Linked DNA regions of Notamacropus eugenii. The protein of the gene in region 3 binds, or shares a complex with, the protein of the main gene of each other region. Links are inferred from orthologs where the notes say so. Each region holds a gene or a part of one and is shown on either strand. Other genes may lie near its edges.

Region 1 (8,233 bases), about 520 Mb from region 3:
TGTGAGCCAGAAAATTCCAATTTTTAATAAAAGTCACTGAGAACTCCAAGGATTAATTAATTGATTTATCAATTTATTAGGGAGTCTTGGGGCCCCTATTCAATTGGGTCCAAGATCTTCCTCATGATCAGGGACTACCCCCCTTGGATGGTAGTCACTTTTATATACTTGGAAAAGCACTAAAAATTGAAGGAATCATTACAATTCACTGATTGGTCAATTCCAGAAGATGATTTAGTGACTGAGTGCACTGAATGTAGGATTCATCTTGATCTTTAAGCCTGACCCTTATTTTAAATATTTTAAGGAAATAGTCTTAGGTGATTTCCTTAAATATGATGGTTGGCTTCTTTTCTATATCACACTTTTAGGGAGCCTGATAACTCTGATGTTCTTTCTCTATACTTTTTCCTCAAGATTGATCTCCTTTCTCTAATATAAAGGCCAACATCAGGAAGGAGGCTGGAAGAATCAGCAAACCAAAAAAAATCCCTCCATAAAAACCATTATAGTAAAAAGAATGCTCCAGACACAATCTCAGAAGAGAATGACTCCAAAATATCTACAAGCAAAACATCCAAGGAAAATGCTATTTTGGATACAAATTCAACCAGAATTCCCTGGGAGAGAGGAAGTAAAAATTTAAGGGAAAAAATAATTTACTTTTTTTTTTTTTTAACAAACAAGTGAGTGCTAGAGAAACAAATGGGAAAGAAATCAGAACTATGGAAGAAAGAATTGAAAAAAGAATTAACAGTATGGCACAAGAGGTACAAAACCTTCCCAAACAACAACTTCTTTGAAAATTAGATTGGATCAAATAGAAGCTAATGACTTCATGAGGAAACAAGAACTATTAAAACAAAATTTAAAATACAAAGCAAGATATTAAACAAAACTGAAACAAATAATATTAAAACAAAACTAAGACAAAAATAAACCTTCCCAAGCAATAGTCTCTCTGAAAAGCAGATTGAACCAAACAGAAGCTAATGACTCCATGAGGAAACAAGAAATATTAAAACAAAATTAAAAGACTGAGAAAAAAAAAGATATGTTATCCCATACCAATAAACAGTTGATCAACAAAACAGACCAAGCAGAGACAATTGAAGAATTTTTGGACTACCTGAATACCATGAGCAAAACCCAAGCTTTATAGTGTTTTTTTCCCCAGGGTTTTTGGGACACCATTTTCTCCTGATTTTTCTCCCAAGTGATGTTCCTTTTCATTCTCCTTTACTGGATTCTCCTCTAGATCACACCTTCTACCCACAGACATCTCTCAAGGCTCTTCTTGGATCCTCTTTTTCTCTCCCTTTATATCTCCTTTACTTGGTGATCTCATCAGCTCCCATGGAAAAACAAAACCCTGTTACAAACACATATAATCAAGCAAAACAAATTTCTGTTCTGATCATGGGATAAAAAAGTCTCATTCTGCATTTTTGAGTTCTGTACGTCGAACAAGGAGGTGGTAACATGTTTCATCATGGGCAACTTCCATCTGGACAGGGAATCTACTATTTCCTACTGCTGCCTCATAGCCAGCCTCCTCAGATGAGATCTCAGCCCACCTGTAAGTTTTCTTTCTTACTTAGGAGGGAGAGGTGTATTTTTGCAGACTGAAAAAAATTAATCATAAATATGGAAAAGACTGATCTCCTTTGTTTACAATACTTTTAGATACCTTCTTAGTTTTCTACATTTTTTCCTGTTTTCTCAACTGTTTCTGCAATTTTATACTCCAGCATCACAATTCTGTTTCTAAATGAAGCCATTGTTTTATTTAGTTTTCTATAAGTATTTTCAAAGTACTGAAAATATTTGTAAGCTTTTATGTCTTCCTTATTTCATCTTGTGATGTTTTAGATGATTTAATTTTCCTTTGACTTTGCTTCAGTGAGTTTATTATCCATATTGATGCAATATTATGATGATTTTAGCTTTCTTTCTGGTGATGTTAGTATTCTATTATATTTTCCTTCTGGTATTTGTTTTCAGTTTCTAGTGATCTATAATATTTATTCAAGGTATTGGAAATATTGTTTGCTAATTTTGAAGTTTCATTACAAGGGTTTTAGATAGTCTTAATTTCCTAATTGGGGGGACAATGATCTATTTTTGGATAATTTTTATTACATTTTAGCTTTTGTGTATAGCTAGGTTTATAAGATAGTATGCAAAGACCATTTAATTTAAAAAAAAGTTAGCAACAAAAGGAGAGAAATTTAATAAGATACAGAAAAAGTAGGCTATTTGAAACACAGATTGATTTAATATCATTGGGACTAAGTTTACATCTTTGCTTCTCATGTTGCCTTGACTCTTGAGAATTTAACAAAGTGAAAAATCTGAATGAAATTTTCTCTGAATTTATCATATTTTCAGGGATACTCTTAAACATAACATCTTTGATGTTTAATGACAGATGACTTACTACTAAAAATTTTCTCCCACATATTTTTTTTCATATTTAAAACATTTAATTGGCATAGAGTAAATTTTTAGAAAAACAACTGGAACAACAACCACATGATAAAGTATGGCTGTTTTATTCCTTTTTTTTTTTTTTTATTCATTTTCAGTGCTCCACAATCACTTTCATATAACCTAGATTTTTTTGTTTCCCTCCCTCTCTCCTCCCTCCCCGAGACCACATACAATTCTATATGGGTTCTTGAAAGATTATGAAGGCTTATAGTAAGATTATATAGGCATAGGCCTCAGTCTCTATGAATATATTATGAACTTTAATTCACCCCTAGCGTGTTTGCGAACAGAGAGTCCACAATTGGTCCTGAGAACTTGAGGGACATCCTTGTTGAACCCTGGCCAGGTCCACAAGGAAGAACTTAATTAGCTGCCTATGGATTCCTGGAACTAGTCATTCTGGGAAAGTACTGTCCTTGTGGCCCTGGAAAGGCTGCCCCCTTTCCAGAGCCTCATGTAAGGATTAGTGCCTTGCCAACATCTTTGGCAGCAAGGCTTCTTTGTTCTCAGACTATTTCACGAATAAAGTTTAGTTGACTAGTTAGAGTCTCACCCACGGAGAGGACGCTCTGCCTGGGACCTTCTGATCGGGACTCAATGGGCAGTTTCCTGGGATTCCCCAGCCCTAAGGACTAAGAGTTGGTGCTTCCCCTGATTCGGTGATGTTTTCCTTCTCTAATATATACATATTAGTAGGATTTGCTTTATTTGTAATAGTATTGAGTTGTATTGGATATTTCTTTTGTAAAGCTGATCTATGCTTACCTATCTTTTGAATTATAATAAATCCATTTTATATCCTTTTATTGTTGGATGTGTCATTTTGTAGGAGCCAATCAAAACTAAAACTCTGAACTGAACAGTTCTACCCATACATTCCCACTAAATACACCCTCACCTTAGTCATGTAGCATAGAATTAAAATGAATGGGACAAATCATAAAACAAACCAAAAAGTAATACAAAAGAAAATGATCTGCTACATTCTGCGATTGAATTCCATAGTTCTTTTTCTGGATGTGGAAGGCATTTTGTCTTAAAAGACTATTGGGAATTTTTTAAGTCTTTGCATTGTAATGAAGTTCTAAGTCTACCAGAAAAAATCCTCGCACACTGTTCTCCCATATATTTCACAGAGTTACTCTCCAGTATGAGTTTTTAGATATTGGGTGACTTCTCTAGCTGAAGGCTTTCCTACATTCAATACATTCATAAGGTTTCCCTTGACCATGAATTCCCTGATGTGAGAAGAGGGATAAGAAGTCAAAGAATGCTTTCCCATATTTATTACATTAATAAAGCTTCTCAGCGTGTGTTAACTAATGTCATGTAAGGATATCTTTCAAGCTGAAGGTCTTCCCACATTCATTACATTCATAGGGACTCTCTCTAGTATGAATTCTCTGATGTTGAGTAGATGAGCAGTATAATAAAAAAATTCCAAATTCATCATATTTGTAGCGTTTTTCACCAGTATGATTTTCTTACATGTACAGTAAGAGAAAAATGATTGAAAAGGACTTTTCTGCATTCATTGCATTCATGGTATCTCTTCTTCATGTTTTTTTTTTGTTTTGTTTTGTTTTGTCAAAGATGATGTATACTAATACTTGCTTGATACCTCTTTCATGGGAAAGGGATTTTTCCCATGTCCTCCTACCTTGAGAAGTTTCCTTATACTTCTGCAATCTGTGATCTGGAACAGGAAAAGATCCTGTCTCTCAGTCTTTCTTTTAATGAATCTGGTGATTCTATGTGTTTAGAAAAGTTCTGCTTTGGAATTGATTCCTGTTCTTGGGCCTACTATCCCAGTCTTAAACCAAAAGAAAACACAAATTTAATCTGTTCTCCATGGAAGAAGAAAAAAATATAGTAAAAGTAGATGATGAAACATAAAATAAAGTCTATGAGGCATCATTGTATGGGCAACCATCAAAAAAGATTATATTTTAATCTGCAAAGAGACTATGAGAGGTGAGAATTGAGAAAGGTACAGAGATGAGGAGAGAGTGCAGATAATACATAACATTAGGCAAGGTGATCAGAGAATATGAGAAAGTCTATCTAAGAGCATAAGATAGATAAGAGAAGTAGATCGAGTGAAGGGTATGGTGATAAATAGGAATACTAAGGAAGGAAGAAGAAATAGAATGGGATCTAGACAAATAAACTGTAAAGAAAGGGTAAAGAGAGGGCAAAAGGTGGTATGCTATCAATGGGAGCTACCAATGTCAGAGAGATGAGATACCCTTGAGGCTCCTGGAGGTTCTCCTAGAGAACCCTGGAGAGGGGCAAAATGTTAACATATCTGACTTCTAGGTAATAGGGGGCAGAATAGTCACCATTAACACATTCATTCTAGTTGTAAATAAAAATGCTGAACAGCAGAGGACTCAGAATAACCCATAAACAATTTTCCTCTTTGATAACATTAGCTCATCAACAGGTGCTGTGGGTTTGATCATTCAAACAGTGTCAAATCTACTTAACTGTACTAACATAGAACCTACATTCATCCATCTTGCCCAATATGAGAAATTTTGTCAGATGCTTTGTTTCCCTCTTACCCCACTCATCCTCCTTCAGTTGTTGCTCTAGAGACACAAAGTAAACTTAGCCTTTATGATGTAAGCATTTGGTAGAGCCAATTGTGAAGTTCACCGAAAGAATGAAATACTATAGTACAACTCCACTCCTAGTTCAACTTTGTTCATCTTGGCAGAGAACTAAATAACATTCATTAACCACTACTTTGAAATGAGACAGGTATGCCTTTATCTTTATCTTTTTTTTTTTTAAGGTCAATATATGTTATTTTTATTTCTGCTTCTGCCCTTAGCTGTATAAGTTTTTTTTTTTTAATTTAACTTTTAACATTTATTTTCACAACATTTTGGGTTACAAATTTTCTCCCCTTTTCTCCCCCCCCCCCCCAGACCCAAGCATTCTAATTGGCCCTGTGATCAATCTGCTCTCTCTTCTATCATCCCTCTCTGCCCTTGTCTCCGTCTTCTCTTTTGTCCTGTAGGGCCAGATAGCTTTCTTTACTCCTTAACCTGTGTTTCTTATTTCCTAGTGGTAAGAACATTACAGTTGATCCTAACACTTTGGGTTCCAACTTCTTTAGCTCCCTCCCTCTCCACCCCTTCCCTTTGGAAAGCAAGCAATTCAATATAGGCCAAATCTGTGTAGTTTTGCAAATGACTTCCATAATAGTTGTGTTGTATAGGACTAACTATATTTCCCTCCATCCTATCCTGTCCCCCATTACTTCTATTCTCTTTTGATCCTTTCCCTCCCCATGAGTGTCGACCTCGGATTGCATTCTCCTCCCCATGCCCTCCCCTCCATCCTCCCCCCACCCTGCTTGTGCCCTTGTCCCCCACTCTCCTGTATTGTGAGATAGGTTTTCCTATCAAAATGAGTGTGCATTTTATTCTTTCCTTTAGTGGAATGTGATGAGAGTAGACCTCATGTTTTTCTCTCACCTCCCCTCTTTATCCCTCCACTAATGAGTCTTTTGCTTGCCTCTTTTATGAGAGATAATTTGCCCCATTCAATTTCTCCCTTTCTCCTCCCAATATATTTCTCTCTCACTGCTTGATTTCATTTTTTTTTTAAGATATGATCCCATCCTCTTCAATTCACTCTGTGCACTCTGTCTCTATGTATGTGTGCGTGTGTGCATGTGTGTGTGTGTAATCCCACCCAGTACCCAGATACTGAAATGTTTCAAGAGTTACAAATATTGTCTTTCCATGTAGGAATGTAAAGAGTTCAACTTTAGTAAGTCCCTTATGACTTCTCTTTGCTGTTCACCTTTTCATGGTTCTCTTCATTCTTGTGTTTGAAAGTCAAATTTTCTTTTCAGCTCTGGTCTTTTCATCAAGAATGCTTGAAAGTCCTCTATTTCATTGAAAGACCATTTTTTCTCCTGAAGTATTATACTCAGTTTTGCTGGGTAGGTGATTCTTGGTTTTAGTCCTAGTTCCTTTGACTTCTGGAATATCCTATTCCATGCCCTTCGATCCCTTAATATAGAGGCTGCTAGATCTTGTGTTATCCTGATTGTATTTCCACAATACTTGAATTGTTTCTTTCTAGGGGCTTGCAATATTTTCTCCTTCACCTGGGAACTCTGGAATTTGGCCACAATGTTCCTGGGAGTGTCTCTTTTTGGATCTCTTTCAGGTGGTGTTCTGCGGATTCCCCCTGGTTCTAGAATCTCAGGGCAGTTTTCCTTGATAATTTCATGGAAGATGATGTCTAGGCTCTTCTTTTGATCATGGCTTTCAGGTAGTCCCAAAATTTTTAAATTGTCTCTCCTGAATCTATTTTCCAGGTCAGTTGTTTTTCCAATGAGATATTTCACATTATCTTCCATTTTTCCATTCTTTTGGTTTTGTATTGTGATATCATGCTTTCTCACAAAGTCCTTAGCGTCCATCTGTGCCATTCTAGTTTTGAAAGAACTATTTTCTTCAGTGAGCTTTTGAATCTCCTTTTCCATTTGGCTAATTCTGCTTTTGAAAGCATTCTTCTCCTCATTGGCTTTTTGAACCTCTTTTGCTAATTGAGTTAGGCTAGTTTTCAAGGTGTTAATTTCTTCAACATTTTTTTGGGTCTCCTTTAGCAGGGAGCTGATCTGCTTTTCATGCTTTGACTGCATGTCTCTCATTTCTCTTCTCAGTTTTTCCTCCACCTCTCTAACTTGATTTTCAAAATTCTTTTTGAGCTCTTCCATGGCCTGAGCCCATTGGGTGGGCTGGGACACAGAAGCCTTGATTTCTGTGTCTTTGCCTGATGGTAAGCATTGTTCTTCCTCATCAGAAAGGAAGGGAGGAAATGCCTGTTCTCCAAGAAAGTAGCCTTCAATAGTCTTATTTCTTTTCCCTTTTCTGGGCATTTTTCCAGCCAGTGACTTGACCTCTGAATATTCTCCTCACACCCACCTCGCCTCCTGGTCCTCCCAGCCAGCGTTTGGGGGCTGAGATTCAAATGCTGCTTCCCACCTTAGGGCTTTTGGCGGGGGCAGGGCTGCTATTCAGTGTGAGAATTAAGTTCAGGTGGTCAGGTGGGGGCAGGGCCGCCTCTCAGGCTCAGTTCCCTCAGGGGGTTTATGCACAGACCTTCCACAATGGATCCAGGCTCCCTCCCGCTTGGGGAGCCCCTGTCTGCAGCTGCCTCTCAGCTTCTACCTCCTGGGGGGGCCTGAATTATGGGGGCACCCCACTCCCCTCTCGACCCGCCAAAGAGACTCTCTCACCAACCCCTGTCACCTGTGGGTGGAGGGCCTTGTGCAGCCGCTGGAGATTCCGTCCCTGAAGCCTGCTCGGATCTTTTCCTCTCGGTGCCACGGCCGCGGCAGGGCTGCACTCAGCTCCCAGTCCCGGCGCCCAGTCCGCAGCGCGAAGGACCCCCCGCGAGAGGTTTGCAGGTCCCTCCGGAACAGAAATCTCCCTCGCTCCAATATTCCGTGGCCTCTGGGTGCAGAATTCGCCGTGAGTTACTCCCCTATAGCCGATCTGTGGGTTGTGGGTTTGGAGCTATGTGTATGTGCGTCTTTCTACTCTGCCATCTTGGCTCCGCCCCCCCTTTATCTTTATCTTTACCCATGAGACTCCTACCAGACTGTCATGCCTTATCCGGTCAATTTTGTACTGTTATGGGAATTTTAAATTTCGTTTTATTTCTCAGGCATCTTTTGGTTAATATTTGCTTCATCTGAACAAAGCCTGTC
Region 2 (8,251 bases), on a different chromosome or scaffold from region 3:
CTTTGAATCACTGAATTTTAATCTCCTTGGGATAAAAAGGCCATATCTAAGTAACACTACCCAAAATAATACATGGACTCTTTGAGTACTCATCTGAGGATCTCTAAGGCTGGAAGAGATAAAAAGGGTATAAACGTAACATGGTGGCTAATATAAGCGAAAGGAATAAGATTTAAAAAAAGAATGAAGATAGGAAGGTGGAGAATACAGGCTTAAACTCCCTAAACACACCATAGCTATATTTCATAATTTGCTGGAACTATTTAATGGGTCTTAGCTACTTTATTTCATTTCTTTTTAAAAAATAAATTTTTATTAACAACTTTTTTTTTTACAAGATTACTTTTTAAAACGGAGACTTTTTTACGCTTTTATTTCAGTTCCAAATTTCCTTCTCTCTCCCTACTCCCCCCTCCCCAATCCACTGAGAAGAAAACAAAACCCATTACAAATTCAGTTATGCAAAACTAATTTCCACATCAAGCTTGTTTCAAAAAAAGCCAGGAAAAGAAAGAAGGATGAAATATGCTTCAAATCTGCACTCTGGGTCAACTGGTTATCTTTCTGGACAGCATTCTGTGATGAATCTTTGGAATTGTGATGACTTGTTGCGTTCATCAAAATTACCAAGTCTTTTAAAGCTGATTACCTTCACAATATTACCGTAACTGGACAGGTTATTCTCCTGGTCCTGCTCATTTCGCTTTGCATCAGTTCATACAAGTCTGGATGTTAGAGGTGGGATTTGAACCTATTATTCACAGGATCACTACCCTAATTCAAGCTTACACCATCTTTTACCTGCACTCTAACAACAGCCTCCTAATTAGTCTCCCAGCATCCAGTTTCTACTCTTTTCAAGTTCCCTAGCCTGTAACTGGAAGGCTCTTCTTTCCCTCATTCAAAATGAGGACAATTGTTACCTCCAATTCTATGGCACCTCTCCCATTCTCTAAAATTCTTCAAAGATTATTTACATCAGTTTAGCAATCACTTCTACCAATTTTTTCATGTACTGACTGTTGTGGTAGTCCAAGTCTGGGGACTTGAGGGCAGCCAGATGCTTTCTTACAAACAAATGCCTTACTTAACTTCAACTTCAACTCTGTATCAGCCATGTTAGTCTGTATTTGTACAGGTAGGGAGTCACCACTCTTCTGGATTTATCCTCTGACACCTACTTTCTCTTGCACCTTTAATATATGTCTTTTAAAAGTCCAAGTCAGTAGGTTCTCAGTGTATCCACACTAGCACTCTGTAAAGCAATGTGCTAAGGGCTAGAACTATGAAGACAAAAAGAAAAACCACCCTTGCTCTCCAGACACATGCTTTTGTGCTTCTGGAGGAGGAGGGAGAGGAGAACAGGCTATGAAGAGTTTTGCATGCCAAAGAGGATTTCATATTTGATCCCAGAAGTGACAAGCAATTGCTGGAGTTCAATAAGAAATCAGTGACATGGTTATGTTTCCTATGTTTAGGAAAAACACTCTGCCAGCTTAGTGATGGATGGATTAGAATGGGGAGAAACTTGTGGCAGTATGCTATGGCAAAAATTCAGGTATAAGTGGCACCAGGCTAGTGGCAGCATCAGAGAAGAGGGGGGTACATATGCAATAGATGTTAAGAGGGTAAAAACAACAGGTAATGGCAACGGATTGGACATGGGGGTGGAGGGGTAAGGTAAGAGGAGGAGGGGATGATAGGCAGGTGGTGAGCCTTGGTGACTAGACTCCTGATAGTATCCTCTACACAGTAACAGCCAAGTTAGAAAGAAGGGAAGGTCTGATAGAAAAGATAATGAGTTCAGTTTTGGAGATGTTGAGTTTAAGATGTTCACAGAACAACCAGTTGGATCCTGGGTCATCTCCAGTCATCCTGAAGACTATCTGGTCACCGGATCCAGATGGCTCTGGAGGAGAAGTGAGGCTGGGGACCTGCACAGCCCTCCCTCACTCAAAACAAAGTCAAGTGCAAGGGACGTCATCATTCTCTTCCAAAATGAAGAACACACGCAGACAGACAGTCAGTGAGGTGAGGGCGGACCTGGGGCTAGACAGTAGATCTGAGGGACATGTTCCGTAGGCATGATAACTGGATCTGTCAGAGCTAACAAGATCCCCGAGGGAATCAGTAATGAAGGCGCCCAAGTGCCAGCTCCTTGAAAAGGCTTTTCCTAATTCCTCTAGTTAGTGAACTAGCTGGGAGACCTTGGGCAAGTCACTCAACCTCATCTGTGAAATGGGGATGCCAATAGGGTCGTTGCGATAAAGGTAAAGGGCTTGGCACTGCACCTGGCATCCGTTAAGTGTTACATAAACATTAGCCATCATTAGTATCTACCTGCGCTCCCCGCCACCCCCACCCCGTTACAGCGCGGTATTAGCCCTAGCAAACCTCGGGGCCTCCCGGGATGCCCAGGGCCCAGGGCACACACAGTGGGCGCTTTACGGATGCTGGCGGAAGGCCACGACCCGGCCCCGGTACTCACCCGCGGGCTGCCCTCCGCCCAACGCAGGCCTGGCGGTGCTGGCTCTCGAGGCGCGGCCGGACTGGACCCTGGAGGGAAGGGGGCTCCATTGGGAGAGGCGCCCCGGCGGGCTGCGGGCGGGAGGGCACCCGCCGCCACCCCAGCCCCCCGCGGGGCCCGGCCCGCCGCCCCCCCAGCCCCCCAGCCCCCCGCGGGGCCCGGCCCGCCGCCCCCCCAGCCCCCCGCGGGGCCCGGCCCACCGCCCCTCAGCCCCCCCGGGGCCCAGGCCTCCCCCTCAGCACCCCCGGGGCCCGGCCCGCCCCCCCTCAGCCCCCTCCCCGGGACCCGGCCCGCCGCCCCTCAGCCCCCCCGGGGCCCAGGCCTCCCCCTCAGCCCCCCCGGGGCCCGGCCCGCCGCCCCCTCAGCCCCCGGGTCCCCGCTTCCTTCCAAGCCGTCTCTTACCCCGGACGCTCCCCGGCCGAAGCCGGGTCCCCGACCCCCGGTCTGCACCCGCTCTCCATCACCACTCACGCTCGGGCACAGGAACCGCCAGCCCAGGCGCCGCCGGTATTTCAAACAGAAACTTCCGGTGGAAGGGGGCGGGGCCGGCTCTGAGTCCCGGAGGCAGCCATGCTGTACGGAGGAAACCTACAGGAACGAGAGCGAGGGGGCCGCCATGTTGTACGGCTGGCCGGGGCTGGAGCGTGGTGGGAGGTTTGGGAAAGGCTGGGGTGAGCTCGTCAGGATGTGGAGTTGGAAGGAACGATCGCTGGAGAAGGCCTTGGGGCGAGGGCACGGTGACCTTGACTGGGGACATCAAAGACTCTCTAGTCCAAGTCCCCCATTTTACAGACGGAGAAACTGAGGCACTGAGAGGTGTCTTGATTTTCCCAGGGATACAAGACTAGCTAGTGAGTGCCAAGGGTAGCATTTCGAAGCAAGACTTCCTGGCTCCCAAACCCAGCGTCCTATCCACTGCACAGTGGGTTTAATAAAGGATCTTGTTTAATCAAGAATTGGAAGATCTACCTGGGCTTGCCCAAGCCTTCATCAGGGATCCCAGACAACTCAGCATCAGATGAATTAATATATGGAATACCTTTGTGACCTTAAAGCAAAGGTTCTTCACCTGGGCTCCACAGACCCCCCAGAGGGGTCCAGGGATATAGGTTTGATGAGGTTCATGAACTTGAATGGGGGAAAAAATACACCTTTATTTTTACTAACCTCTAACTGAAATTAAGCTTCTCCTACAATTATTTTAAAGCATCATGCTGAGACAGGGTCCATTGGCTTCATTGGACTGCCAAAGGGGTCCATGACCCCAAAAGAGGTTAAGAGTTATGCTAATAGTTCTTATATACTATATGAATATATGCCAGTATATATATATGTATATATATGTGTGTGTGTATACATATATATGTGCGTATATATGTATGTGTATATATACATATATATGTACCACTATATAAAAGTGGTACAATGGAAAGGCTTCCAGCTTTATATCTAGGATTTTGTGTTGTCGTTGTTAATCATTCATCATTAATTACATTGCTTGGTTGCCAGAATTCTTCTTGAATTTTGGCATAAAATCCAATTTCTTAAGACTGGGAGAGGGTGGAAAATTAAGGAGGTGAACAGTCAGATTGAAAGATAGTCCAGAATCCATATGCATACCAGTTATCTCATTAAATAATGTGAATTATTTATAAAGAATGAGAACATATTTATGAAAATTATTTATAAACAACAATCATGCTATATAAATAATATCTTATATATGTGTTATTGTAGTTTAGTTGTTTTCAGTTGTGTCCAACTCTTTGTGACCCGTTTTTGGGATTTTCTTGGCAAAGATACTGGAGTTTGCCATTTCCTTCTCCAGTTCATTTTACAGAGAAGGAATTGACACAAAGAGGGTTAAATGACTTTGCCCAGGGTTACACAGCTAGTAAGTGTCTGAAGCTGGATTTAAACTCAGGTCTTCCTGACTCCAAGCCTGGCACTCTATCCACTATGCTACAAGTTACCTCTTTACGTAAGTGTTACTATTCTTTAAATATTTGCTATTGTGATTATTAAAATACAAATTAATTTGAAGGTATTATTGAATTAATAGCAGCTTTTTTAGATTTTAAAAAATTGTTTAATTTGTATTGCCATCTTTTGTTTTTACACCACTTTTATTTCTGAATATGAGTGTTTCCCTCCTCTTCCCTAGTTTGTGTTGTATTCATTAATAATAAAGAAAAAACAGAGGGGTTTAAAGCAGCTCAGTGGATTAAACTACATTGACTGCGTCTGACAATATGTGCACTGTTGCACGCCCATAGTCCTCCTATATTTGCATTTTTTTATTTAGCAAAAATCTATCTTCTTACCTCCCCTCATCTAATCTGTGCACCCCCCAAATTAAGAGCCAAAGAAAAATAAGATCCTAGTTATAAACAAGTGTATCAAGCAAAACAAATTTTTACATGGACTTTGTTCCAAAAAAAAAGTTTCTTTTTCACTGAGTCTGTCATCAGGAAAGAGGTAGCATTTCATCATTAGTTCTCTGCAATAGTGTTTAGTCATCCTGCTGATCCAAGCTGCTAATTCTTTCATATTGTTGTCATTGCATTAATTCATGGCCATTGGAACAAATTGTTCTCATCCGCCCATTCCACCAGAGAAAGTCTTCACATACTTGAGGTACACACCTCCCTAACTCACCTGTGGGTGTGAGAACCCTTGGTTACCCTCAACCTGGTTTGGCCAGTCTGCCTCAATGGTTTACCCGGGTGTGGCCGCTGAGCATGCTGCAGCTTCTTGGAGCCACAGGTGAGAGTTGGGTGGAACAGGTGGACACCAAAGGTGGAAAGAGCCCTGAAAAGGACTTGGCAGCCATCACACCAAAGGTACCGGTCCTCCCTGAACACACGTGATGCACACATTGCCAGAGCTGGCTCAGCGTTTGGGAGGCTCCGAAGAAAAGTTTGGGAGAGAAGAGGCATTAAACTGACTACCAAATTGAAGGTCTACAGAGCTGTTGTGTTGCCCTCATTGTTATATGCTTGTGAAACATGGACAGTCTACCAGCGCCATGCCAGGAAACTGAATCACTTCCATTTGAACTGTCTTAGGAAGATTCTGAGGATCACCTGGTAGGATAAGGTACCAGATACTGAAGTCCTTGCTCGAGCTGAACTGCCAAACCATGCTCCAGAGAACGCAACTCCAATGGGCTGGCCATGTTGTTCGAATGTGAAATGTATGCTTGCCAAAAAGACTTATTTTATGGAGAACTCGCGTGGGGCAGGTGTTCCACATGGTGGGAAGAAGAAGCAATACAAGGATACTCTCAAGGTCTCTCTCAAGAACTCTGGATTTGACTGTGCAACATGGGAGACACTGGCACAGGACCCGCTCAGCATGGTGTGCCCACATCCGAAAGGGTGCTGTGCTCTTTGAGCAAAGCAGAATTGAGACAGCACAAAGTAAACGCAGGATGCGCAAATTTGGAGTATCCACCCCAAATATTCACATGGACAATCTGTGCCCAACCTGTGGTACAGTATTCTGAGATCTTATTGGTCTCATCAGCCACAGTCAGACACACTGAATTTCACTGTAATATGGTGATGTCATTTTGGTCCTCTGCGAAGACAAAGGACAGCAACCATTATATTAATTAATCACTCTCCCGATTGTGTTCACTTCATTCTGCTTCAGTTCATGCAAATCTCCCCAGGTGTCTCTGAAACCATTATCTTCATTACTTCTTGCACACCACAATAGTTCATCACGTTTACATACCAGAACATATTTAGCCACTCCTCAATTTATGAGCACCCCTCAGATTCCCATTTTTATCACCTTAAAAAGAGCTACAAATACTTTGTACAACCTTAGTTTGTTTGTACTAGTTTGTTAGTACTAATTCCTCCCTTAATCTATCCTCCCTCCAATTCACCCCTCCTCTTTTTTTCCTCCTATTGTGTGAAATGCATTTCTGTACCCAACTCTGAGTGTGATAGGAAAATGAGATTGAAGCATCATCCATCCCCTATCCCCACCTCCTTGTTTGTATAGATGTCTACTTGTGTGCCCTGATTAGGTGAGATAATTTCCCCTAACCTTCTTTCCTCTTTCCCTTACATTGCCCCAAGTGTATTCCTCTTCCCGTCTCTTTACATACTTCTTTTAAGATCATCAAGACGTAACAGAACCACTTCCACGTCTTCTGTCTAATAAGATTCACTCTCTGACCCCTGACAGATCTCATAAGGGACACGTATTATCTCCCCATATTAGGAAGCAAGCAGTTTACCTTGTGCAGTCCCTTAGCATTGTTTATTTCCTTGCCTTTTTAGCTTTCTCTTAATTCTTGTGTTTGAACTTCAAAATTGCTACCAAGATCTGGACTTTTCATCAGGAATGCTTTGAAGTCTTCTACTTCATTAAAGGTCCGTTCCACCCCCATCCCCTCCCATCCATCCCCCTGTAGCATTATATTCAATTTGCTGTATAAGTTATATATCCTTTGCTTTCTGGAGTATTGTGTTCCAAGTTATCCATTCATTTATAGTGGTAGCCACTAAATCATATAGGAGTCTGACTCTGACTCCTTGGTACTTGAATTCTTTCTTTTTTGACTGCTTGTAGTGTTTTGTTCTTTTTTTCTTTGTTTCTTGGTTATTCTTTCATCTGGAAGTTTTGGATTTTGACCATAATGTTCCAAAGCTTTCATTTTGGAGTTTCTTTCAGGAGGTGACTAGTAGATTCTTTCAATTTCCACTTTGCTTTCTGATTCTAAGGCAGGAATGGGTAACCAGTGACCTCAAGGCCACATGTGACCATGAGGCCACAGGTTCCCCACCCCTGTTTTAAGGAATCTGGGTAGTTTTCTTTTAAGGTTTCTTGAAATGTTATGTCCAAGCTTTTGTCCTGGTCATGGCATACAGATAGTCCAATGATTCTTAATTTATTTTTTTCTCCTTGATCTATTTTCCATGTTTGTTGCTTTTTGCTATGAGATATCTTACATTTTCTTCTATTCTCTCATCTTTTGACTTTGTTTTGATATTTCTTGTTGCCTCATGGAGTCACTGGCTTCTATTTAGCACTTTCTAATTTTCAGCGAGTTTGTTGCTTCAACAAGGTTTTGTCCCTCTTGTGACAAGCTATTGGTTTCTTTACTAATTTTTTCTTCCATAGCTCTCATTTCCTTTCCAATTGTTTACTCAAGTGTCTCATCTTATTTATTTTTGTAAGTTTTAAAGTTGTGTTATACTAGGAACTCAAGGACAGGCTGGAGATCTGCAAGTTTTTCAGCATTCCACAAATGGTCTGATCTAGGGCAAAGTTTGATTGTTGCCATCCTGATCTGATCTATGAAAGTTCCTGATCTGAATTTGGCTTGAGCAACAATAGAGAGTTATTGGACACAACTCTTATCAGCTAGCAGGAAAGCTTTGCCAGTTCAATGATTGAACTGCGTCCTTTGCTCACCTTTGGCCTGAGATTCCTGCCCTGGCTGTTCTAGAGGCTTCAGACTAAGCTAGATGCTAGAAATGAGATGCCTTTCTGCTCCAATGAACAAGCTTCCACTTGATTCTGAATTTGCTCCTTTCTTGGCACATCACCTGTTTACCATTGGCACACCACATCTGAGAACATCATTTCTGGGTGCAGATTCTCTTTTAGTCTGCCTTGGATCTGTGGCCTAACATGGGGTGTTGGGCACTGCCAGTTGACACCTGTTTCTGCATCCTTCATACAGTTCCTCCTCTTGTCCAA
Region 3 (7,425 bases):
ACAATAAAAATTTAAATAGAATATTTGAATATGATTAATATTTAAAAGGCAGGAGGGGGTTTGTTAAGAGATTAAGTAATAGGGGAGGGTTCCCAGCCTGGGTGGAACTTTGTATGCAGTTACCGACAGTACATATAGAAAAATCCAAAGGGGGTAAAGGGGAGCATGTACGTATGATAATGAAATTATAATAATCCTCTCTACACCATAACTTCACTCTAGGTCAGTTCTTTACTATTACTGTGAAGGTGCTATCTTAGGGAGGGCCCCTTCTATGGTTTGGTGGTCAAACATCCTGCTCTACATCCTGGCAGTGCTGCTGATTGGCTAACTATTGTGGTCCTGTCTGGTCAAGATGGATGATGTGGTTGAGGTTGAGTGCATAGACATACCTGTTTCTGTGGAAAATATGTGAATTGCATCTGGGGGTAGAGGCTAGCTAAAGGATTAAGTCTGGTGGCAATGGCTGGCTAGGGGAAATGGCTAGCTAGAGGCAGTGGCTAAGTTGAGTCTGGATGCAGTGGCTAGCTAGAGGCAGCAGGTCTGCCGATGATTGAGTTTGAGGACCTATGGTATGATTAAGGCCAGATTGTATGGTCAAATCAAGCCATACCTGCTGTTTAGTGGGGCCCATAAGGAAGTTAGAATATTGGGGCTGATTTAGCAGCTCTATTAGGATTCCATCAATATTGGGAAAGAAGAAATGAAAAAAAAACATTAAAAAATGAAAATAGTATGCTTCGATCTGCATTCAGACTCCATCAGTTCTTTCTCTGGTTGTGGATAGAATTTTCCACCATGAGTCTTTTGGAATTTTCTTGGATCATTGTATTGCTGAGAAGAGCCAAGTCATTCATAGTTGATCATCATACAATGTTACCATTACCGTGTACAATGTTGCCCTGGTTTTGTTCATTTCACTTTCCATCAGTTCCTGTAAGTCCTTCCAAGTTTTTTCAAATTCATCTGCTCCTCATTTCTTATAGCACAATAGTATTCAATTGCATTCATATACCATACATTCCTCAATTGATGGTTATCCCTTAAATTTCCAAATTTTTTGCCATCACAAAAAGAGCTGGTATAAATATTTTTGTATAGGTAGGTCCTTTTCCTTTTTCTTTGATCTCTTTGGGATACAGATCTAATGGTGATACAGCTGAATCAAAGGGTATGCACAGTTTGATACCTTTGGGCTGGATCTGTTCACCACTCCACCAACAGTGCATTAGTGTCCCAATTTTCCCACATCCACTCCAACATATATCATTTTCCCTTTCTGTCATATTAGCCAATTTGATAGATGTGATGTGGTACCTCAGAGTTATTTTAATTTTCATTTCTCTAATCAGTAGTGATTTAGGGCATTTTTTTCTTCATCTGAAAACTGCCTGTTTATATTCTTTGACCATTTAACAACTGAGGAATGCCTTGTATTCTTAAAAATTTGACTCATTTCTCCATGTTTGAGAAATGATGGTGCCTTAACTTCTGTGATTAGATCCTAGAGTTGGTCTCCAACTCTCCTATAGTCAGTCAATAAAAACTTATTAAGTGCCTTACCCTGTGCCAACTCTGTGCTAAGTGCTAGACTATATTGAGAGGATACAAGGTGTGTACAAGTAAGCAAGGCAAATATGAAGTATGTCTGTAGAAAACAATATAAAGTAAATTATTTGAGTGGAAGTAAAAACAAAAAAATGATAAACATCCTCTGCTTTCAAGAAACTTATATTATATATAATAATATATTAATAATTAATATATTACATATTATAAATTAGATGCAGGATTGTACTGGTAAATGTTTAGCTCTCTGGAAATGTTTGTAGCTGTAAGGTAAGACTCACCTTGTAGTCTGTAAATGTTTCCAGCTTTCTGGAAAAATGTAAGCATGACACATTTTTTAAAAATTCAAATAATATTCTACTTTCCCCCCAATTACATGTAAAAACAATTTTTTAGCATTCTATATTTTTTAAGCTTTGAGTTCCTAATTCTATCTTTCCCTCTCTCCTTCTTGAGACGGTAAACAATCTAATATAGGTTATACATGTACAATCATGTGAAACATATTTCCATATTAGTCATTTTGTGGAAGAAAACTTGAACCTGAAAAAGAAATGAAAGAAGCAAAGAAAGTGAAAAAATAGTGCACTTTGGTCTGTATTAGATGCCATCTGTTCTTTTTCTCAAAGGGAAAGCATTTTTCATCATGAATATTTTGGGATTCCAAGACACATTTTTCAGTCTAATTTGTATTATTATTTTCTTCATTTTTTTAAAGTCTAGAAATCAACAAAACAATAAATTTCTAATTCATTGCACTTGCTGATTTCCAAGATGTAAATGCTCACACGGAAAATTTTAAATGACGCTCTCTCTAGCAAATATGAGTTTGTTCCAATACCTCTCCGATTATATACTTGAAAACTTAAGGAGGGAGAAATCAGTAACAGCCAGGGGGAATCAGGAAAGCTTCTGGTAGGAGGCAGCATCTGAACAGAGCCAAATCAAGGATTATAAAAGTCACAGCTCAAGAAGTAGTGCATTCTGAGTGTGTGGGATGAACTTATTTGATTGTTCATACAAAGGCACTGAAGACTGAAAATGGGACCCTCGAGTCTGGGGAAGAGCAACTAGACCAATTTGACTGGACCCTAAGTACAATAAGTTTGCTACAGGGGTAGTGAAGGATTTTTCTATATTCCACACCCAATCCTAGAGTTATTAGGGAGCCCCTGAAGGTTCTTCAACAAAAAGGCATCATTTTAAGAAGGGGTTAGTGAAAGTACTGGAGTCCTTGTCTTACAAAGTGGAGTTTAAGGAACTGAGGTATATTTAGAATGGCAAAGAAATGACTGGGGTGGGATGGGAGAGAAAAGCGAGTGGAAAGAAGACCGGAGAAATGGCTGCCTACAAGTAGTTGTAGGACCGTTGTATCATGGACCGTTGTATCCAAAAGGAATTAGCTTGTTCTGCTTGTCTCCAGAGGGCAGAACTAAACCAGTGAGTGTAAGTTATAGAGAGGCAGATATACTCCCCATCTTAAGAAAAGCTTACTAGCAAATAGAGTTATGCAAAAGTAAAACTGTTTCGCCTTTGGAGGAGGATATAAATATATATGTATATGCATGTATGTATTTGTTGAGGTTTGGGAACCATGAGGTTTGGGGAACTCAGGACCCCAAAATACGGACAAGCCAGTTCCTGCCGAATGAATTCGACTCAAGACTTCTTCTAGCAAAAGTAAAGCAAAGTTTATTAAAGGTTTGCCATGTTGGATTGACTCTTAAGGAGCCTTGCCATTTGCGATGCTTGTATTAACAAGTGGGCCAAATAGAAAGTTGGCTAGACAGTCAAAGCTAGATTGAATCTGAGCCCCTTCATGGAGGTGAGATGGAATTTATATAGAGAAAGTCTGCGGGAAAGATCTAGAGGTGGTGTAGTAGTCTGGGAGGAGAGTCTAAGGAGGATCTGGAAGAAACTAGGGTAACTAGTGATGTAATGAAGGGTGGGAAACAGCTGGAGGCAATTGGGAGGTATCAGACTATGGAGAGCTTGAGTGGGAAGTAATGGAAGATGGGCTAGGCTAGGTTAAGGGTCATAGATTTGGGTATAAAGTCCAGATTAAGTGGGAAGATTCAAGCAGAGTTCAAGGAGCTTCTCAGAGTCTGTACCCCACCATATTTTATCCTTCAGTCTTGTCTGACTGTGACCCATTTAGGGTTGTCATGTTAAAGATACTGCCATTTCCTTCAGCTCATTTTAGAGATGAGGAAACTGAGGCAAACAGGGTTAAGTGACTTGCCCAGAGTCACACACACACACGCATTACATACACATATACACATACATGCATACGTATGAATGCACACATATACACACGCAAATATACACAGATACATAAGCGCCCACTCGGTAACACTAAAAAGGAGATTCTTGTTCAGCTACAGACAGCTCCTGGATGGTTCGTGGTCCATCATCAATTGATTTCCTCCTCCCTGGGGGTCCTTCCCAGGCCAGTCACTGCCACAGATCGCTTCTCCCTCCCTCCTTCTTCCTCCGTGGTGCAGCACGCTCAGCACGCTCAATCTCCAGGCTTCCCAGGACAACCAAACTTGACAGCGGCCCCCCACTCGCTGTCAATAAAGTTTGTTGAAAGCTCGGCTTGCCTTCGCAGGTGGGGCAGGGGCTAGTGGGTGGTGGAGGCGAGGGCTCTCCCATCGTGCCCCGCGGTAGGCGGGTTTGGATTTTAAATCGCTGCAGCCAATCGGCGGCGCGGACCGCCCCGTAACGTTCCCGGCGCTGGGTTTGAATTCTGGGCTACTTGCACTGACCCTGCAGCCGCGCCGCTTGGGGCTGGCAGAGTGCAGCCGAGCTGTCCTAGCTTAGCCCCGCCGAGCTGGCCTAGCGGAGCTGGCCTGGCCTAGCCGAGCCTAGCCGAGCCGAGCCGAGCCGAGCTGGCCTAGCGGAGCTGGCCTAGCCCAGCCGAGCCGAGCCGCAGCCGCTGCGCCGCACCCGGGCAGGTCCAGCCGGGCGAGAAGCAGCGGGAGGAGGACGGAGCGGCTGCGGGCGGAGCTGGGAGAGGCGGCTGGGGACGGCGGCGGCGGCATCATGAGCGCGGCGCCCGCGAAGCTACCCCTGCGGCAGCCCGGCGTGGGCTCCTCGGAGCCTCGGGGCAAGCCCGCTGTCGGCGGGGCCGGAGCGGGCGGCGGGACCGGGACCGCGACCGCCCCTCCTGCGGCCGCCCCGGACATCCCCGAGGTGCTGGTGGACCCTCGCAGCCGGCGGAGCTACCTGCGGGGCCGTTTCCTGGGCAAGGGCGGCTTCGCCAAGTGCTTCGAGCTCTCGGACCTGCAGAGCAAGGAGGTGTTTGCGGGCAAGATCGTGCCCAAGTCGCTGCTGCTGAAGCCGCACCAGAAGGAGAAGATGTCCATGGAGATCAATATCCACAAGAGCCTGGTCCACCAGCACGTCGTCGGTTTCCACGGCTTCTTCGAGGACAGCGACTTCGTCTTCGTGGTGCTGGAGCTGTGCCGGAGGCGGGTGAGCGCCCCGGAGGTGGGGGGGACGGGCGAGGAGACGTTAGTGCCCCGGGGTGCTATCAGAGGGGTGGAGGGCCTGCAGGAAGGACTGGGGGTGGGGCGTGCTTCCTCTCCGATCTCCCCACCAAGCGGTCACCATAGAACCGGCGTGGGCACTAGCGAGAGCCCGGGAGGTTGGGGGCCGGGCCCAGCTAAACCCAGAAACTGGCTCCAAGTTCCATCGTGCCCTTGAGTTCTCAAGTTCGAGGCCTCAGTTCATGTCTTGAACCCTCGGGGCTCGGGGAGAGAGTGGATCCCCTGTGAGTTCTTTCATAAGCAGCATTAGGGTGGAGTAGCTCTGTTGCCCCCCCTTCCCCCCCCCCCCCGCAAGGTTTCCACTCACACGACCCCCTCCCCACCCCGATAACAGAGTCTGAGACCCCTTGACTTAGCGCGTGTCTCTTCTCGCTGCCTCCCACAGTCCTTGCTGGAGCTGCATAAAAGAAGGAAAGCAGTGACTGAGCCTGAGGCCAGGTATTACCTTCGCCAGATTATCCTAGGCTGTCAGTATCTCCACGAAAATAAAGTTATTCATAGAGACCTCAAGTTGGGTAATCTCTTCCTCAATGATGACATGGAGGTGAAGATAGGTAAGACTGGGGAACCCCTAACCAAGCTGGGATTTTGTACAGGAAGTGTAACTTCCTAAATGGACCTAATTCCCCGTTGAATAATCTGTGTGGCTGTCCAGGAAAGACCCTTAAGCAAAAGTCCCAGGGATTAGTCTAAAGTCTGTGTGACTGGAGCCTTTTCCACAAGCCAAATTTTATAAACTTCTTTTTGGCTTTGCTGTTAAATCATTCCTCTTGGCAAAAGTAAGCAGTTATGCTTAAATGCACAACCTTATGCAAGAGAGCTACAGATTGAAGAAGATTTAGTCCTAAAATGCTTGCAGGAAAGTGTATGCCCAGAGTCATATTTTCCTTGCACAGCTCCATGTTTTTTAGAAAAGGATAGGGATGGAGATGGGGGAGGTGAGGGCAGCCACAGGTTGGTAGCTAAAAGAATACTGTAGAAAAAAATCAACAACCCATGCTTTTCTTTGTTTCTTCTGTACAACAGAACTGGGCAACCAGGGAACATAGACATGGTCCAGGGTTTACTGTGGAAAACAAAAGGAATTCTGGATCTAATTTCAAAAAAATTTGGAGACAGGCACCTATTATACAAAGGAGGATATAACTCCTTCCCCCCAATCCCCCCAGTGAGATGAGGCAGGGGTAGTAATGTTCTCTCTGGGTCTTTAGATTACCCTAGTCTAGGGAGATGGGATAGAAAAATTATATTTTATATTGTAGGCTACAATAGGGCCAGCTTTGTTGAAAAGGCCCCAGGCTGTTAGGTGCCAGAAGTGGGCATCAGTAACAACCTACATGGGACTATGGGTCAAACCAATCTGGATTCCTGGGAAGAAGAATGATTTGCTTCCTAACCCTTATTACAGGTGACTTTGGATTAGCAACCAGAGTAGAATATGATGGTGAACGTAAGAGGACCCTCTGCGGAACACCGAACTACATAGCCCCTGAGGTGCTAAGTAAGAAGGGCCACAGCTTTGAGGTGGATATCTGGTCCATTGGGTGTATCATGTGAGTAGTAGCTTAACTGGATTCTTTATCAGGAACCCAAGAGACAGGCAAACCTCCATTTATGAATAGGCAAAACCTGGCCTTCCTTTTTTAGCTCTCTGTTATCCTAAGAACTATTTAGTCTCAGGGACGAGAAGAATAGAAGGAAAGATGATCCAGGGAAGATGAGATTCCAGTGACAGTGAGATATTCAAGAACACTGGTCTTTGGGGACAGTGAGGAGATGGGCAGGACAGGTGGAAGGGTTAACTATTGCTTTTAAGTGATTGTGGTTATCTGAAACAAGATCCTTAGAGAGCAGGGGGAATGGAGCCTTGTTTCCCTTGATGCTGGCATCCCACTGAGGGCCTCTTCCATCCAGTACCAGTTTTCTTCCCTTTGCCTAGGCTTGGCCTCAGGAGCTGAAGGATATTTTCCTAGGTCGTTCACCTTTTGCACTTGCTTGCAAAAAATTGGCTTCACAAGTACAAGATGATGGAGGCATGGTTCCAAAGTTTGTTTGAAAAAACTCTCTCAGTATCTGAGTACGGTACAAGTTCAACATTAGTCATAAGTATAATGTGGCAGCCAAAACTAATGTGATCTTGGGCTACATTTAGAGGCAACACTTCCAGTCAATCTGTAAGGAAGTAGGAGGTGATTATCTTACAATACCCAGACTCCATCTGGAATATTGTTTAGTTCTGAACAAAACCATTTAGAAATAACATTACTAATAAGCTGGAGGATATCCAGGGGAAGGCATCCTG
Region 4 (7,170 bases), about 280 Mb from region 3:
CGGGGATAGGAGGGCGTGTAGGGGGGAAATTGTGGCGGATGTACAAAGAAGGACAATTCTGGCAGGAGGTAGCAGACAGGAGCGTGCGCCGGATCCGTGCCTCTACTCCCCGGGACCTCCAGGGTAGGACCGGGAGCTATAAGTCAGGACGCAGCCCAACAGCTCGCCACACCTAGAAAGTTCAAACCTTCCGCCTGCCCCCAGAGCTGCGCGAGGAGCCTCCCGGCCAATCGCCGAGCACCTCCTAGAAGTCCCACCCCCAGACGCCTCCTGACCAATGGCCGTGAGTCTTCCCAGCGAATCCCACCCTCCCTCCCCGCCCCACCACGCGCGCCTCAGCCAATCTAATCTAGTCTGTAGACCCGCTCGCTGTGGCGTCACCTGCTGCTAGGCAGGACCCAAACTCAAAGAGATGGGCGGGACTCGGGATTGGGCGAATCTTCCGAGCAAGCGCGAGTCGGCGGCGGATTGGCTACGAGGTTACGGCGAAACCCGAGCTAAACTCCGCCTTCCGGGGAAAATCGGATACATGATTGGCTCATGCTTTGGCCATTCATCCCGTCCGCCCGGACCTCGCCCTTCCCACGCCTTCCACCCGGGAGATTTAAATCTCCACCCCCCTCACCCCCTCCCTTCGCTCCCTCTCGCCCCGCCCTCACCAGCTTATTTCTTTTGAATGGTGAATTTGAAAAACCTGGTGAGTGCAGGTGAGGGTTTCTGGGCTGTTTTATTCCCCCTACCTTCCTTTTCGCCTTAGCTAATGCACCGACTCCTCACCTTAGTGCTCTGAGAGGTGATGCGATGAAATGGAGAATCTGCCTTTAGAAACTCTGGAATTGAGGAGAGAGAGGTGTGTATTGGGGTGTGCAGGTTCTCCATTCCTTCCTTGGAAAGGAGTAGGGGAACGAAGGGCTTTTCCTGCTGCTGTCCAGTTTCAACTATTGTAGCCTGACCTCTCCTTTTTGCACCTTTCCGTGCTCTAAGCACGTATGGTATCGTGAATGACTGACTACCTCTGTCCTACCAGACTGTAGTTAAAAAAAACATCCTGAAAGGAAGAGAGTGTGTCTTATCTGAGCTCGATCTCCCCCAGGACCTGCAAACAGTAGGTGCTTAATAAAAGTCCAATGTAAGTTCGTTTGCTATTTATTGAAGCTCTGAGGATTGTGGAGGGTGTTTTAGAGATGTGGACACTAATTCAATCTGGCTGTCCAGGATCCAGATGAAGGATGTGTTTCTTTGGAAAAAGCACAGCAATCACCTAGTCATTCTGATACCTTCTTTACTTATAGAACCGATAAGAACATGCTTGGGCTTGGGAATTCTTCCTCTGGAGTGAAGATGGTGAGTGTGGGAGTCAGCACAGAGAACAGCTGCAGAAGGTGCAGGTGAGTTATGGAGTCTGGCAGATGGAGTGAGATGGCCGCAGTGTAAAGAGATGTTTAAGAACATTTTATGTTTTTCATAGCTATTTATTGATAGGACATTTATTTCTCCACAGGCAGGATGTAGAAACAGATGAGATTGTTCTTCGAAGGAGACAAAAGCAGATAGACTATGGGAAACGAACAGCTGGTTACCAGTGCTTCTCACAGCAAGTCCCTAAGTAAGAGCAGAGGGTTTGGGGATGGACAACATTTATCCTTTGAAGAACTGAAAATATCTTTTACCATCAATTGTTATCAATTAATACCAAGTCACCTTGATATTCATATTAGAATGCCTTAAGAAAAATTAGGAAGCCTATCAATTAATCTTGCTATTTTCTAAACATCTTTAAGCATTCTACATGGTCTATAATACTTGTTCTGATCTTGTTAATGGCTACCTTGTCTTCCTAAACCTTCTCATCACTTGCCTTTCTGCATCTTTATAAATAGAATCTTCTATTTAAAAATATTAGGCTAAACTTTCCTGGACTTATTCTGTCTCTTCTCTTAGACTTTGAACATGAGTCAGTACACTGTTATTCGTCAGTAAGGGAAGGCATTTTAGAGGGGTTCAACTTTGCAAGTAGCATGGTATAATAGAAAGAGTGGGGAATTTTGAGTCAGAGGACCTGAGCTCAAATTCTAGCCTTATTTACTGTAACTCATGTGGTCTTGTGTACAAGTCATTTAATATGCAAGTATTTATTAAGTGTCTACTATATGTTAGGTAGAAATGAAATAGTACCTTCCGTCAAGGCCCTTATGTTCTGAAGACAACCTGTACACAAAAGTATACAAGGTAATTTTTTTTTTTAGCGGGGGGAGCTGAAGGGCATAAAAACTTCATGTAAAAGGTGGACTTTGACCTTTGCTTTGAAGGAAATTAAGGATTCTGTGAGGTAGTGGTGAGGTAGGAGTGCATTCTAGGGATGGGATATAGCTACTGCAAAGTTCCAAAGCTCAGTCTCAGTTTTATCAGCTATAAAATGAGGGATTTGGTCTAAGCAGTCTCTGAGGTGTACCTTTCAGCTTTAAATCTGTGAGCCTATGAACATTGTTCTAAAGTTAGTCTCTGATACCTGCAAACAATTAATGAACTATGTCCAACAATGCTGAAGAATTCTTTCTTCAACTAGGCTGATTCTCAGTCATGCCAATAACACAGGAGCACTAAGCCTCTTCCATCTATTTATAGGTGTCTTTGACCATAATTTAAGATGTTCATTTTATCTCTAGGGCAACACGGCAGTCAGGACTTCACCCTCAAACACCTGACAAAAGCCGAAGGTACAGCCGACGTTCCTGGGATGCCCAGATCAGGCAATGGCGACGAGCCCTACATGCTTGGGATCCTCCCAGTCAGCCTTTGCTGTTCAAAGAGAATGATATGTGTTCTTGTACCTGGCTACAGTGAGTTGTGGGATTTGAGTTCTAAACCTTCTCTTCCTTTGACAAAAGCTAGGGTATAAGAGAAAGGACAAGGGCCAAAGTTTCTTAATGGAGTCATTGTAATGATACCTGAACCCTAGACTAATCTAAACCTTTTTCTTGCTCCCAGTTCTGAGAACAGCTACCTATATAAAAAATGGGTCTGCATTGGTCCTGGTTCATTCTGCCTTTGTTTCTTCTCCTAAATAAATATACCTTTGCTAGGCAGGGAGTGGAGAATATTTCAGGGAGCATGGATTCAGGATCTTCAGATGACTTCTTGAAAGGCTGGCTCAGTGTTCTGACTCCCCTGTGGAATCTAAATCAAGACCAAATGAGAACCCAGGTAGGTTCATAGGAACAGTATCAAAAGAGTTGTCTTTCAGGGTGTGGGTATATTTCATAATGAACAAATAAATCATTTTATTTATAATAATTTATAATACATGTTGTGTATTACATATTACATATAATAATTAATAATATATGATAATTTTATATAATAATTTATAATAAATAAAATATTACTTCATAATGGCTGAATTAAGGCTGAGTTCAAAACAGGTGTATACATACTAGATAAACTGGGGTTGGGATAGTTAACTGGGAATTGGAACGAGTAGAGTTTTCTTTTTATGCAAACAAGTCAATGATATATTGATCAGAAAGCTTAAATATGGAAATTAAACAAGTGTGGTGGGAGAAAGCAAGTATCTCAGAGCCCTAATTTTAGCCTCTGCCCCATAAAGTTACATTATCTACAAGCGTACTACCTTAAACTTTAGGAAGAATTGTCTGTTTAATACTTCACAGTCTGATCCTTACCAGGGTTTTACTTTCTGTTGTAAAATGTTTGCGGTTATTCTCTAGGAGTGGGGAAAAGGGGCATAATGAAGATCCTAATGAGTACTATTCCCTCCAAGCTAAGCTACCTCTGAGAAAAACAGGGAGGATAGATAGCTATTGTCTACCTACCTCTTGAAAATGGGCCCTTTCCCCTCTCTCTTTTCAGTTTGACATCTTGGCTCTTATCACCTCACTTCCCTGTCTCCAGCTGGAAGCTCCCTGTCACTGGCTATACTGCTTGGGAGATGGAAGCCACCTACCACTTTCAGTGTTGGGGCATGTGGAGTGTGCTGAGAAGACAAGGCCTTTAGGAAATTGGGCAGGGAGGCTGCCCAGCTTTCTGGGGCAAGACCCTCATTGACCCTTGATGAAGAAAATGCCCCCTATTTAGCTTAGTGTCCTGCCTTACTCTTTTTTTTCTTCTTTCCTGTTCCTTCCCTGTTTTACAAACTTGCCAGCCTGCAATAAGAAAGCCCTTCTCCACTGGCTCAAATTTGGGTTAAAATCACTTCTCTACCCCTTTGCCTCTCTGATGGCATGACTGTGGATTCATTTATTTCCCTTGGCATTCATTCTCAAGTCTCTGTCCCTGTTTTCCTCTATTTTAGCCTCTTTCATCTAGGTCTTTCTTGGGGGGGATGAGTTTTACTCGTAACTTGTGCAGTTACTTCAGACTGAAATCCTGTGGCTTTGGTGAAAGAATAGCCCTTTCCTCTCACTGACCACTCCTGCTTTATGGACAAAGAAGGTCTTTGCGAGGGTCTGACCACTTCTACACAAAGAATGAAAAGCGGGGTTTGATAGAGGAGTCCTGAGGGCGCTTCCTCTAGAATACATTGGGGGTGGGGGAGGGAGGAGGAAAAGAGCTGAGCTTATTATGATGTCATAATCACAATCCAATTACCTCATCCTGCTGTGACTGGAAGGGCGGGGGATGGGGGGCGTTGATGGAAGAAGAGAAGGGGCCCAGGCCCACTGAGTGTAGTAATGGACGTGCAGGCGCGACTTCGGGAGAAAGAAGAAAGGGCTGGGGATGGGGCTAAGGTCCTGGGATCCAGATCGGGAATTCGCCCCCCCTGCCCCTCAGCCTTTCCTGCTGCCCGTTGTTCTGGAACCCTATTCAAGCAGGCCCCAAGTCTGGCCAGCATTGGACTACACCTCCCATCTGCCCCTGGGTCGCAGACGAGTCCTCAGTGGCAGGGAAGAGGGGTTTTTTTCAAAGCAGTGGCAGTATAGGGAGAAATAGAAAAACGAACACCGGGGTGCGAGGCTTGTTCTGCTAGAGGTCAAGGTCAGAGAAGGCGTCTTAGTCAGACTGGAGCAGGAACTGTAGAGAGAGGGCCTGAGTTTGTTTACCTCTGTCTATTCTCCCCACTGGCCCGAAGTTAGTTCAGCCTAGAGCCGGTCCCTTCCACCTTCCGCAATTCGGTAGGGGAACCTAGTGGGGAGCAAGACCCCTTTGAGGCGAGGTACATCGAGAGGAGCAAGTGTTGCACCTTTTCCATCACGGACGCTACTGATTACCAGCAGTTTTTGGGGGAGGGAGAGGAAACCCCAGGAATTCTGGCCCTCGCACGGGGCTTCGGGGCAAGTCCTGGGAGTGGGGAAGCTACCCCCCCCTCTCTGGCAGGGGGACGATTGGTTCGCTCCGGCGTTATTTAAGGGCGCCGTGGGGCAAGTGGCGAGCTCAGAGCTGCTCCGGCTGCGGCCCTGGGAAGGGGACCGAGCTGCGGTACGTAGCGGGCGGGCGGGCCCTGGGGGCAGGTGGCGCTGGGCCCTGGGGCGGAGACCTCAGCTGCCCCTCCCTTCCTCCTTCCTTTCCCAGCTAGTCCCTCCTCACGGCCTGGCTTTGCAGGCCGCCCCGTTGCGGGGAGCCCAGGACTGGTGGGGGAGGGGGCCGCTAGAGCACCGTGTCCCCAGACATCTTCCCCCCCCCCCCCCCCCAAACTCCTTTACGGGCCCGGGTCCTGGGCCAGAAGGCTGGCGTTAGGGGGCGGGTAGCGGCTCCTCTGACGTCATCCGCCCCCACCCCCACAGGGTCATAGGTCACCTCTTGCCCCTCCCGTGGTTAAGGTAGCGGCAACCCAGGGATGGAGGGGGTAGTGTGTAGTCTTAATTGTGGGTGGAGAAGGGGTGGGCAGCATCCATCACACCCACCCACCCCAGGCACCACCAGGGCCTTGGAGAAAGGAACCCCTCCCCCGCCGTTGTTTTTATTCATACTCTAACCCCAAGCTGGGGGTGGGGGTGGGGGCGTTGTGATGGAGGGAGAAGGCCTGGAGTCCCCAGAAAATCTCCCGCCAGCCTGTCCCATTGAACTAAGTAGATCTACCCCCAAGGGAGACTTCTGCTCTTCAGCTCTGACTCTGTTTCTGAGACCCAAGTATCAGTGATCACTTAGATCTTTGGGGAGTGGGGAAATGTCAGTGCCCCATTGGGGAAGAGGGTTGGGTCTTCTGGGTACCTAAGAGGCCAAGCCAGATGCCTCCTCCCAAAAGGGCTTCGATCCTTGGCGGTTATTAGGCTGAGAAGTTTTAACTTGTTTAGTGTGGGTTCAGGACTTTCTTTATTCTGCAGTTAGAAGATAAGGTAATGAAGGAGCCAAGACTAAGCCTTCTAATGCTTTAGGTTTGGCCCTCTCCAAGCTAGGTTGCCTTTTTTATATCTTGGTTCAATTGTTTCAGGTTCCCTCCCCCCCCCCCCCACTCTGTTTTAAGAAACGTAGAGCCCAAAATGTCAGTTAATGTGATAGGTAGTAGTTGGCTTGTTGCAATGACTTGTGTATGACCACATCCCAGCAATTAAAATGCAGAAAATATGAAATTATCCTCTTCATCCTCTTGATTCTAGAGAGAAAAAAAACTAGGAGTTTCCTATGGCCCAAATCTTGAGAGCCTGAAAATGAGTTTACCTCACCCTCCAAAGGCTGTCCCTAGTATCTGAATGCAACTAGGTACCCTTTTCCATTGATGGATCTCCAAAAAGGCAGCTTTAAGAAACCAAGAGCATTTAGTATAACGTAGCTTGAGTTTTATCTTCTGTAACAAGGGCCTATATAGGGGAAGCAGCTGAGGAGAAATCTCAGTGTATAGGATTTCTGTAATGCTTTTTATTTTTTATTCTTTTTGAAGAGCATAGAGAACTTTCCCAGTGTCTCAGGAAACTTATCTTTCCATGAGATGGGTATGGATTAAGGAATATTCTCCCCATTTTACAGAAGGGAAAAAGTCGCATACAAAGCAGAACTTGTCATATACAAACAGTGCCCTTTTAGACTTATGTGAGTACACAGGCACAAGTGAATGAATGAGTGAATGGTGTCCAGCCAGAAAGGTAGAACAGATTGCCTTCTGCATCCTAATGATGTCATCACTCCCAGCATCCCTAGGCTTTGTGGTGCATTGAACAGGAAGAGTGAGAGATGATACCCTGCTGGACTCCTCTGAAATGATTCCTTGGATTTATG

What was found.
Region 1: the proteins of PLK1 (region 3) and MIS18BP1 are in contact, whole or in part, in a crystal structure (PDB 8S31), measured with the Homo sapiens proteins. The link is inferred for Notamacropus eugenii from reciprocal best matches to the Homo sapiens genes PLK1 and MIS18BP1. Residues at the interface, in NP_005021.2 of Homo sapiens: Lys413, Trp414, Val415, Asp416, Tyr417, Asp419, Tyr485, Ser487, Glu488, His489, Leu490, Leu491, Arg516, Phe534, His538, Lys540; in NP_060823.3 of Homo sapiens: Asn73, Ile74, Phe75, Gln76, Ser77, Thr78, Met79, Leu80.
Region 2: PLK1 (region 3) and KNSTRN share a complex: the UniProt entries of both Homo sapiens proteins name them as parts of the astrin (SPAG5)-kinastrin (SKAP) complex. The link is inferred for Notamacropus eugenii from reciprocal best matches to the Homo sapiens genes PLK1 and KNSTRN.
Region 4: the proteins of PLK1 (region 3) and CDC25C are in contact, whole or in part, in a crystal structure (PDB 3BZI), measured with the Homo sapiens proteins. The link is inferred for Notamacropus eugenii from reciprocal best matches to the Homo sapiens genes PLK1 and CDC25C. Residues at the interface, in NP_005021.2 of Homo sapiens: Lys413, Trp414, Val415, Asp416, Tyr417, Tyr485, Glu488, His489, Leu490, Leu491, Arg516, Phe534, His538, Lys540; in NP_001274511.1 of Homo sapiens: Leu126, Leu127, Cys128, Ser129, Thr130, Pro131, Asn132.

What each region holds. Positions count from the first base shown.
Region 1 is NC_092872.1:606,016,578-606,024,810, reverse strand, and holds the start of MIS18BP1 (mis18-binding protein 1), read left to right. Parts: upstream 1-5,168; 5' UTR 5,169-5,259; intron 5,260-8,233. UniProt on the Homo sapiens protein: Required for recruitment of CENPA to centromeres and normal chromosome segregation during mitosis.
Region 2 is NC_092878.1:26,428,087-26,436,337, reverse strand, and holds the start of KNSTRN (small kinetochore-associated protein), read right to left. Parts: upstream 3,049-8,251; 5' UTR 2,989-3,048; coding exon 2,930-2,988; intron 2,557-2,929; coding exon 2,489-2,556; intron 1-2,488. UniProt on the Homo sapiens protein: Essential component of the mitotic spindle required for faithful chromosome segregation and progression into anaphase.
Region 3 is NC_092872.1:81,486,940-81,494,364, reverse strand, and holds the start of PLK1 (serine/threonine-protein kinase PLK1), read left to right. Parts: upstream 1-4,323; 5' UTR 4,324-4,617; coding exon 4,618-5,049; intron 5,050-5,508; coding exon 5,509-5,677; intron 5,678-6,531; coding exon 6,532-6,676; intron 6,677-7,425. UniProt on the Homo sapiens protein: Serine/threonine-protein kinase that performs several important functions throughout M phase of the cell cycle, including the regulation of centrosome maturation and spindle assembly, the removal of cohesins from chromosome arms, the inactivation of anaphase-promoting complex/cyclosome (APC/C) inhibitors, and the regulation of mitotic exit and cytokinesis.
Region 4 is NC_092872.1:365,474,731-365,481,900, forward strand, and holds the start of CDC25C (M-phase inducer phosphatase 3), read right to left. Parts: upstream 3,084-7,170; 5' UTR 3,075-3,083; intron 2,841-3,074; coding exon of another isoform or gene 2,667-2,840; intron 1,607-2,666; coding exon of another isoform or gene 1,502-1,606; intron 1,389-1,501; coding exon of another isoform or gene 1,293-1,388; intron 851-1,292; coding exon of another isoform or gene 807-850; 5' UTR 778-806; exon of another isoform or gene 579-777; intron 256-578; exon of another isoform or gene 1-255. Other genes in the region: oocyte-specific histone RNA stem-loop-binding protein 2-like, read left to right, coding at 807-850, 1,293-1,388, 1,502-1,606, 2,667-2,840, 3,084-3,204, 3,871-4,065. UniProt on the Homo sapiens protein: Functions as a dosage-dependent inducer in mitotic control. Tyrosine protein phosphatase required for progression of the cell cycle. When phosphorylated, highly effective in activating G2 cells into prophase.